Oryctolagus cuniculus: one gene and its partner. Each later gene encodes a partner of the first gene's protein in a complex. Links are inferred from orthologs where the notes say so. Each region holds a gene or a part of one and is shown on either strand. Other genes may lie near its edges. The genes, in order: TNNT2 and TNNC1.

What was found.
Region 2: the proteins of TNNT2 (region 1) and TNNC1 are in contact, whole or in part, in a crystal structure (PDB 1J1D), measured with the Homo sapiens proteins. The link is inferred for Oryctolagus cuniculus from reciprocal best matches to the Homo sapiens genes TNNT2 and TNNC1. Residues at the interface, in NP_001263274.1 of Homo sapiens: Gln266, Tyr269, Asn272, Val273, Asn276, Arg277, Asp280; in NP_003271.1 of Homo sapiens: Asp99, Phe101, Arg102, Asp105, Ala108, Asp109, Gly110, Tyr111, Arg147, Tyr150, Asp151.

What each region holds. Positions count from the first base shown.
Region 1 is NC_091444.1:17,358,046-17,362,467, reverse strand, and holds the start of TNNT2 (troponin T, cardiac muscle), read left to right. Parts: upstream 1-1,539; 5' UTR 1,540-1,993; coding exon 1,994-2,135; intron 2,136-2,233; coding exon 2,234-2,311; intron 2,312-2,637; coding exon 2,638-2,673; intron 2,674-3,359; coding exon 3,360-3,393; intron 3,394-4,226; coding exon 4,227-4,287; intron 4,288-4,422. UniProt on the Homo sapiens protein: Troponin T is the tropomyosin-binding subunit of troponin, the thin filament regulatory complex which confers calcium-sensitivity to striated muscle actomyosin ATPase activity.
Region 2 is NC_091441.1:97,259,840-97,264,386, forward strand, and holds TNNC1 (troponin C, slow skeletal and cardiac muscles), read left to right. Parts: upstream 1-1,583; 5' UTR 1,584-1,826; coding exon 1,827-1,850; intron 1,851-3,259; coding exon 3,260-3,290; intron 3,291-3,504; coding exon 3,505-3,651; intron 3,652-3,854; coding exon 3,855-3,969; intron 3,970-4,125; coding exon 4,126-4,262; intron 4,263-4,338; coding exon 4,339-4,370; 3' UTR 4,371-4,514; downstream 4,515-4,547. Other genes in the region: NISCH (nischarin), read right to left, coding at 7-102. UniProt on the Homo sapiens protein: Troponin is the central regulatory protein of striated muscle contraction. Tn consists of three components: Tn-I which is the inhibitor of actomyosin ATPase, Tn-T which contains the binding site for tropomyosin and Tn-C.

The DNA of each region.
Region 1 (4,422 bases):
GGCTTTGAGTTGGGGGGGTGCTGAGACCCAGCCCCCCGGATGGGGACCCGGCTGCCTGCCGCACGCAGTAGGATTTGCCTCGCCTCACGCAGCCCCGCTTGCTTGCCGTGACTGGCCGACACTTGCCCCCACGCAGCCGGGGACCCTGGTGTAGATGACGCCGGGGAGCAAGCTCTGGAAGGAAGCCCTGTCGCCTACACGGCGGCGTTCCCAGTGCCTCTGCTTCCGGAGAGTTCTTCCACCTGCTGTCGCCCCTTCCTGGGCCGGAGCGAGGGCTGAGTCCTCAGCTGTGCCCCGTGGTCATGGCGCTGGGCTTGCCTTGCACGGGGCAGCTTCCTTCCTGGGCACAGCCTCTCCAAGGCTCCGTGGTCCAGAGCCAGAGCCCAGCTGCTGGTTACCATTCGTGATGGCTCCCCTGGTGGCAGTCCTTGGTGGGCACGCCAGGCCAGCTCCCCTCAGTGGTCACGGGCCGGGAGGTGGGTGGGGGTGTTCCCTCGGACTGTGGAGGTGCCCGAAGCTCAGGGGAGCCGATGCTGCAGAGCGCTGGCCCGGGAGCGGGGACCCGGGCCACAGTGCGAGAGGCACCAGCCAGCCGCCCGCCACCGCTGCCTCGCCTCTGCTCCGAACTAACCTGTCTCGCTTCTCCCTTGGCTGCCGCTGCCCCCTGACCCTCAGAAGAGGAGGACTGGAGAGAGGACGAAGATGGTACTGTACCTTTCCCCCCGGCTCTGCTTCCTGCACCTGCTGTCCCCGGTGCCAGCGCCTGGCCCCCGCCTTAGAGGGGGCCAGTCAGGGCCACAGTTCTGAGCTGGTCATCACATCTCTCCTTTAGGGTTATGGGCTGGGAAACGCCAGCTGGCTGTCTCCCTGTGTGGCCACTGAGGGGCCCATATCAGGGCTGAGATGCCCCACCTACCCACCCACTGCACAGTGCTGGGCTGTGTGTGGGCCCTCCGTAGGAGCCAGGCAGCACCCAGGCAGGTGGCCGGTGGCAGGAGCCTGGGGACCAAGTGATCTGGGGGCTGGAAATGGCCAGGTCAGAGGGAACACGGTGTCAGCCTGCAGATGGCCCCTGGGGTGGCACTGGACCTGCTCCTGGCACCCAGGGACAGCACTCGGGCAAGGGGGACAGGCGAGGCTCGTTCCAGAGAGCACGGGTCTGACAGGGAGGAGTCAGGATGCGGGGGCCGCCTGGGAGGGGCAGCGCAGCTGATGGCGGTTGCCACTGCGGGCCAGGCATCTACTCTCATGCCTTCTGGAAGAATCTTCTCCACTGTGTCAGTCTCGGTCACCGAGGACCCTTGCCAAGCACTTCCTACGGGCAGAGCACGGGCCAGGGGTTACCCTGTCCGCCTCACCTGTCTGTCCGTCTGTCTGCTCCAGGCGTCTCAGCAGGGTGGGGTCCGCATCCTGCCCAGCATGTGGGTGGGAACAGAGGGTCCCGCAGCCTGCTGCCGAGGGCAGCCCCTCTGACTGCCAGGCAGCTCCTCCATCCTCAGTCTCGCTCTGCTGGTTCCTTCAGATGGGGGGCGGGGGGCTCAGGACGGGGGCTTCCCCAGCACTTTCTCTCAGGTGGAGCCTGTCTTGTGGGCTGGAAAGTTGGGGCTGGGGGCGTCATAGCCCCAGGGAAGCCCCTGGGGAAAGAGGCGCTAGGTCAGGCAGACAGGGCCCCCGGGCCCCCCAGTCCCTGGCTTGAGTCTCGTTGGGCCCACCCCTTCCCTGCTGCTGCCCACAGCACCCACCGCACCCATCACACCCCCACCCAGCTTTCTGGCCCTCCCGGGCTCTGTGTTCAGAAAGGCCCAGTGGGGAGTCCCAGACCGCAGGAGAGGCAGGTTCATGGCTACAGTGCTTATCACAGTCCTGGTCACACCCGTCTGCCCTGACGGTGTGGGCTGCAGACGAGCGGGTGGCATTTTACACCTTGAGGGCACCCAGGATCCCCAACCCTGCAGCCGGAGCAGGAAGCAGGCCACAGGCCGCGAGTCTGTGGATGCACATGGCTGTGCCAATAAAACTTTATCGGAAGCAATGGTCTACAGGCTGGACGTGGCCCCTGGGCTGCGGTTTGCTGGCTTCTGGCTTAAACCAAGCACTCGAGGCAGCCTCTCGTCACTCACGCCAGTTGCCTCCAGGTTCATCCACGCCATCCCTCCAGTGTGCTGGGCAGGGCCGGCCACTCTCTGTCCCGGCCTCTGCCTGGGTGTTCACTGTGTCTCGTTCCCCTCTACAGAGCAGGAGGCAGGGGAAGAGGAGGAGGCTGGGGGCGGAGCTGAAGCTGAGGCTGAGACCGAGGAGACCCAGGCCGAGGGTAAGGCCCTGGGCTGGGGGCTGGGGGCTCGCGGGGTGCTGAACACCCCCCAGAGCCATTCCTGCGGCAGAAAGAAATCCACCTGCCTCCAGCCCTCCACCTGTGCACCTGCCCCTCCTGGCTGGGTGGGATACAACCATCAGTTGGCCAATCAGTGAATGCTGGTTGAGTGCTCAGGCAGTCTTGGGCCCAGGGGCATGCATGTGAGTGCAGACCCCTGGCCCCATAAACCAGCAGCTCTCCCTTGGTTAGGCCCTGACTCTGGGGTGGGTGGAGGATTAGCACTTAGAACAAGGCCCTTTGTTGATTTCTCATGTTTCCTTTAGAAGATGGACAAGAAGAGGAGGATAAAGAGGATGAAGGTGAGTGTGGGCCCCCCCAGCAGCCCTGGGGAGGCGGAGGGGCCAGCGAAGGAGAGGATGGGACTGGGGGTCCTTGCAAGGTGTGGTGCTCTGGGCCTTCACCCCTTCTCATCCCGGGAGCTGTCTTAGTGGTGGCCAGTGACAATGGGACCAGTGACCAGCCCCTGGGACCCGGAAGTCACGCCCTCCATGAGGCTCCTAGAGCTCAAACCACTGGGAGGTGTGGGGTCTGTGGGGGAGAAACCCCGGGGCGTGGAGGGTCCCAGGGTGGGGTGGGGGCGGCATTGCTGCCGTCATCCTGTGCCCCAGCCCTTCCGGGAACATCGTCTCAGCCTCACCTCCAGGGCCAGACAGCAGCTAGGGCACCTAGCTCCCAGCACCAGGAAGTCCAGGGGGCAACCAAGAGACCTGGGAGGGGACTGTGGGACCACCTCGGGGACCTGGCCACCGACCCTCCTGGCTGCGAAGCCCCAGAGGCCATGGCGGACAAGAGCAGACCTTGAAGTAGCATGCTGAGGTCCATGCTGAGAGTGTGGCCGGGGGACGCGGCTGCCCCCTGAGACCCCCCTCCCCTGGGGACTGCTGTGGGAGTCAGCCTGGCCTCACAGGGGCCCACAGGTGCCAGCTCATGGTGGGGGGGGGGGCTGGGGCCTCCTGACCCCGCGGCTGTGTGCTCTCCTCTGCAGATGGCCCCGTGGAGGAGTCCAAACCCAAGCCCAGGTGAGTGGCATGGACCTGTGGTGAAGCCCTGGGAGGGGCCGGGCCAGTGCAGGAGGGTGATGGGCGCAGGTGGCACGGGCTAGGGGTGTGGCAGCACACACTACCCACACTGCCATGTACAGTTGTACAGGTTGCACACTGCACACGGGGTGAGGGCTGAATTCCACCCTGGCGCGTTTGTTGAGGAAGCAGGTGGACCAGCGTCCGCCCCGAGCAGGCACAGGGTGGCCAGATCACCACCCTCTGAGGCTGGGGTGGCCCTGGGACAAAAGGGAAGTGGCGGTGGTGGCCACAGAGCTGCCGAGGGCAGAGGTCGACCCCCCTGGTGGGGTGGGCTTGGGGGGGTATTCCCCATGCCGATGGAACCTCCACTCCTGCCCCTCTCAGTGGGTGGCGGGAACCTGCTCTGGCCAGGCGGTCCCAGCACCTGCGCTGCAAACCTCACGTCAGCTCCACCCGGGCGTGCGCGCGCCCGCCTGGGCCTGGGGTCACCCACCAGCTGAGACTGCGCTGGTCCGGGTCCCGGGGCGGTCCTGCCGGGTGCAAGGCGGGGAGCTGGCGTCCCACAGGCCCGCCTTCCCATCACAGCTTCCTGCTTCCTCGCCTCTCCCCGCTCCCTCTCCTTAAGCGAGAATCCCACTGCCACCTTCCTCCCGGCGCACCAGGTACAACACCCGGGTGCGGGGTGGACGCCAGAGCTCCTTTAGGCGTAGGTGTTGGGGCCGGCGCACGCGGCGGGGTCGACGTCACGCAGCAGAGTTGACGTCACGCGGCAAGTTCGAGGTCGTGTGCCAGGGCCGGCTCCCCGACTCGCCCCTTCTCTCCTCCCACAGGCCCTTCATGCCCAACTTGGTGCCGCCCAAGATCCCCGATGGCGAGAGAGTGGACTTCGACGTGAGCAGCGGCGTGGGCAGAGCAGGCCTGGGCTGGGGGGACGGCGGGGGTCCCTAGGGCCCCTGGTGAGAGGGCGAGAGCAAGAGAGAGAGGGAGTGAGCGATCTCATGGTGCCTGGGGATTGCGTGGGGCGCA
Region 2 (4,547 bases), on another chromosome or scaffold:
GCACACCGTATACGTGTCCACGAGCTCGGAGCCCACGACGCGCGCTTCCTTGGCCGGCTCGGCCTCCCGCTCGGGCCCGAAGCCGCCCGCCGAAGCCGCCATGTTCGGGGCTCCGCCGCCACAGCCGCTCGGCGCAGACTGGCAGCAGCAGGGGGCGGGGTCAGCGTCCCACCGCCCCCAGGCCCCCGCCGCCCCCCGCCCCCGCCTCGCGCTGCGCCGCCATCTTGGCCCCGCTGCTGTCTCAGCCTTCGCCCCGCCCCTCGCGCGCAGTGGACGGTAGCCGCCGCCGGCGCGCATGCGCACCCCGCGGGACCCGCTCGCTCCCGGCGCCTGTGTTTGCGTGGCGCCGCGGCGGCGCAACAGAACGCAGAGCGAAGAGTCCCAGCCCTGGAGAAAGGAGGCTGGAAGGCTTGTGGCCTTCTGGGCTACGGTTCCGCCCGGCTCAGTTTCTTTCTCCGGAAAAGAGGGCAGTCGTAGCGCATCCCCAGGCTGTCAGACTCATGCCCCTCCTGGCAGGAGACAGGAGCTGGGCCCGTGACTCGGCCAGTCCCAAACCTCTCCAGGCTTGGGCATCTGCTGACCCGGTGGCCCCTGGAGAACTTAGCGAGCCCAGCACGGAGTAGTCTGCCAGCCAGGGAGTTTATCCAGCGGGAGCTCCGCAGGGGTGGGGGCGGAATCTGGAGAGGAGCTGGCATGGTGGGTGGAGGGAAGGGGACGGTCTGGCCGCTGTGCGCGAAACCCCAGGTGGTGTCCTGCCTGAGCGCAAGGTGGGGGGAGACAGGCTGGCCCTGCCCCCCCCCCCCGCCCGGGCAGGTGCCACAGTGCTGCCCAGGGGCAAGGAAGCCCTGACCCAGTGGAAGACCCAGCTACAGGTGAAGACGCTGGGAGGGGGAGGTTTCTAGGGGTGGTATCTGAGTGCAGCTGGCTCAAGCACGGGGCAAACTGGAGGCCTGGGCCGTGGCCTCTCTGGCACTTCCAGCTGAAGGGCTCCGGATTACCCGGTCCTTCACCGGTTCCATGGCACCGTGCCTTGGCATTTGGCATCTCTCCGCAGGGCCCTGCACCCCCCGTGCTGGCCTTGTCCCTCACTTGGGGAGGGTTCGCTTAAGGCAAGGGCTGCCGAGACTGCCGAATCTTGGCCAAGTCAGCACTCCTCCAGGGCCTCGGTCGTGTGCATCCCCACGACTGGGTGGAAGGTTGAGCTGCCGCATGCAGGCGTGGCCTGAGGCCTCTACCTCCCCCCATTCGTTCAAGAAAGCTGTCTAGGGTGGCAGAGCGGGGCAAGCCACTGCTTCCAAGGCTGGTGTCCCGTCTCAGACTGCAGTTCGAGTCTGGACTGATCTGCTTCTGATCCAGCTTCCTGCTGATGCGCCTGGGAAGGCAGCAAACCATGGCTCAAGAACTTAGACTCCTGCCACCCATGTAGGAGACCAGGTTGGAGTTCCTGGCTCCCGGATTCATCCTGGCCCAGATTTGGCTGCTGTTTGGGAGAGTGTTCCAGCCAATGGAACCAGCCCTCTTTCTCTCTCTCTCCTGTTATTCTGCCTTTCAAATAAAATATCTTTTAAAAAAAAAGAAGCTTTTCTAGGGAGTCTTACGTGTGGTGTGAGGGGCAGAGGGCTGCTCCTTGCAGCCTTGCATCTGCTCCCTGCCCTAGGCAAAGGACACAGGGAGTCTGGCCAGCCCGAGCTCCCCGGGACGGGGAGGGGGCGGAGGACGCTGCACGCCGCGGTGGGCTGGGCTGGGCCGGGAATGCAGAGCAGGGCTATTTAAGCCGAGGCCCAGGGCTGCTGGCAACCCCAGCAGCCGTCCTGTGAACTGACAGCATGGATGACATCTACAAAGCTGCGGTGAGGAAGCAGAGGGGCAGGGCTGGGGTGGGGGAGCCGCTGGGAACTTAGCCCAGAATGGGGGCGGGGGGACCCCCAGCAAAGTGGGGGGGACCCAGGAGAGGCCCACACAAACATGCATCTTCAAAGGGACGGTGGGTCTGGCATGGGGGGGGGTTCAGTCTAGTGGAGCTGGCAGGGTGAGTGGAGGGGGTCAGAGCCTTTGCCGTCAAGCCCCCTGTTTCCCGTGTCTGTAGGCTGTGTGCCCATCTCGGCCACATCTCTGCATCATGTCTCCGCATCTCTCAGCTCCCCTGGAGCTGCCTCTCTGAGTCTCTGTGGCTGTCTCCTGTCTCCTGGCCCTCCCTGCCCCTCGCAGCCTGTCGCTCGCACCCTTGCAGTGCCCCTCCAACCTCCACTTCCTAGCTGACTGGAACGTGGCCAGGGGTCGTGAGGAGCAGGCTGCAAGACCCGAGTCTGGGCTAGGGAAGGGGCATGGAAGCTCAAGGCAGGGAAGGACTAGGTGTGCGTGCAGGAGAGGTGGGGCAGGGAAGACGGGAACCGACAATGAGGGGCCCAGCCCACGGGTAAACTCAGGGCTCAGTGGTTTAGCTGGGGACGAGGGTCAGGGAGCAAGGGCTGGAGAGTGGTCACCCCAAGTACCTGCACCCTGCTGGGGTCACTGAGGGGCTTCAGACCCTGTTCCATCCCGGGGGGGTGACCTCTGCCCCGGGGACAAGCACATGGGAGCCCAGGCGCTGTCCCCAGGGGAACCCTCCCTCAGCCCCTTGAATGCGGCCCCACTCCTAGGCAGGGAAGGGCTATGGCTGGCTGTGGGGGTGTGCCCACCCACCCCCACCAGGGGGGTGGTGGAGGCAGCCCTCCGCCCAGTGCCCATACATGGCCTGGCGGGGCTGGGGACTAATTTTGGCTCCCTAGGCGACAGCAGTAGGCCAGGGGGCCAGATAACGCTGCCCCACCCCCAGCATGCCGAAGTCCCAGAACAATCACCAGGTTTAACTTTGTCCCCCGTTAAAAATAGCCCAGTGGTCACCCTGGTCAGGTTACAGAGGGTGGCTTTGCCCGTCCCCACCCGAGTTTTATTGTCCCAGCCTGAGGGACAGCTGTCCTTCAGGCCTCGCAGCTTGGGTTTCATTAGGGAGGCTGAAAGGGCGTTGAGTGGTCACTGGCTATTGTTACCCCGGGTCACCTTGGCCCTGGAGGGGGTGCCCACCTGTCACCCTGGCCCCGAGCCCAGCCTCAGTGAGGCCAGCTGTGTCACCTCAGGGCTTTGGGACAGGAAGGGAGGGCTGAGGTCTCTTCTTGGTGGCCTGGCTCCTGGCTTCAGCCTTCCCACCTGTGGGACAGTTGCTTCCCTCGAAAGCAGCCAAGGCCTGAGTCTGTGTCCTGAGACCCCTTTTCCTCCCTAGGTAGAGCAGCTGACAGAAGAGCAGAAAAATGGTGAGTGTCCCCTGCTGCACTGCTGGGGACAGCAGGGCCAGGCTGGGGGAGTCCCAGGAGAGGAGTCCCAGCTGGAGGCCAGAAGCTGGGCCCCCTGGCTGGCACCTCAGCGGTCTCAGAGGGAAGAAGGCAGCTTGGCAGCTGGCCCTCTGGGGTCCTGGCTGCTGAGACGCGCTGCTCTCTCTCTGTCCCCGGCCCCACCTTGTTGATGCAGAGTTCAAGGCGGCCTTCGACATCTTCGTGCTGGGCGCGGAGGATGGCTGCATCAGCACCAAGGAGCTGGGCAAGGTGATGCGGATGCTGGGCCAGAACCCCACGCCCGAGGAGCTGCAGGAGATGATCGACGAGGTGGACGAAGACGGTGAGCCCCGCCTGCCCGTCTCGCTGGGGTCAGGCCTGGCTCTGTCTGTCCAGCGGCTGTTTAGCCTGTTTGAGCCTCAGTTGTCTCGTCTGTCAAATGGGCATACTGACCACGCTCGCCTCCAAGAGGCGGTGTGAGGGTGCAGGGAGAACGTGGGGCTTGTGTCCAGGCCGCTGCCTCACGGCATGCCGCCCGCACCACAGGCAGCGGCACGGTGGACTTCGACGAGTTCCTGGTCATGATGGTCCGCTGTATGAAGGACGACAGCAAAGGGAAATCCGAGGAGGAGCTGTCTGACCTCTTCCGCATGTTTGACAAGTGAGCGCGCTGCTCTTGACCTCTGAGCCTGCCACCCTGACCGGGCAGAACTGGGGCAGTGGGCAGCCTCCAATTTGAGATGAAGGGACCCTGTGTGAGGGGGGTGAGGGGTGCCTCCGGCCCTCCCCACAAGCTGCAGCCCCGGCTCCCCCTCAGAAACGCCGACGGCTACATCGACCTGGACGAGCTGAAGATCATGCTGCAGGCCACGGGCGAGACCATCACGGAGGACGACATCGAGGAGCTCATGAAGGACGGCGACAAGAACAACGACGGCCGCATCGACTACGACGGTGAGCAGGGGCCGGGGCCCTGCCGCCGTGCCCTGCCCGGCGGCCCGCTCACTGCCTCCTGGCCCTCTCTCCACAGAGTTCCTGGAATTCATGAAGGGTGTGGAATAGACCCAGCCTTCAGCGGGAGCCGCCCAGATGCTCCGACTCCAGCTGGGGTGCCGCCGGGGCGGGGCCATGAGGGTCAGCCGCCCCTCGCCCCGACCCTGGATCCCTCCCCAGCCTGCGGTGTGAATAAAGCCTTGCCCCCCAGTGGCCTGCCTGCCTCTGACTGCCCCCTCCCGGTGC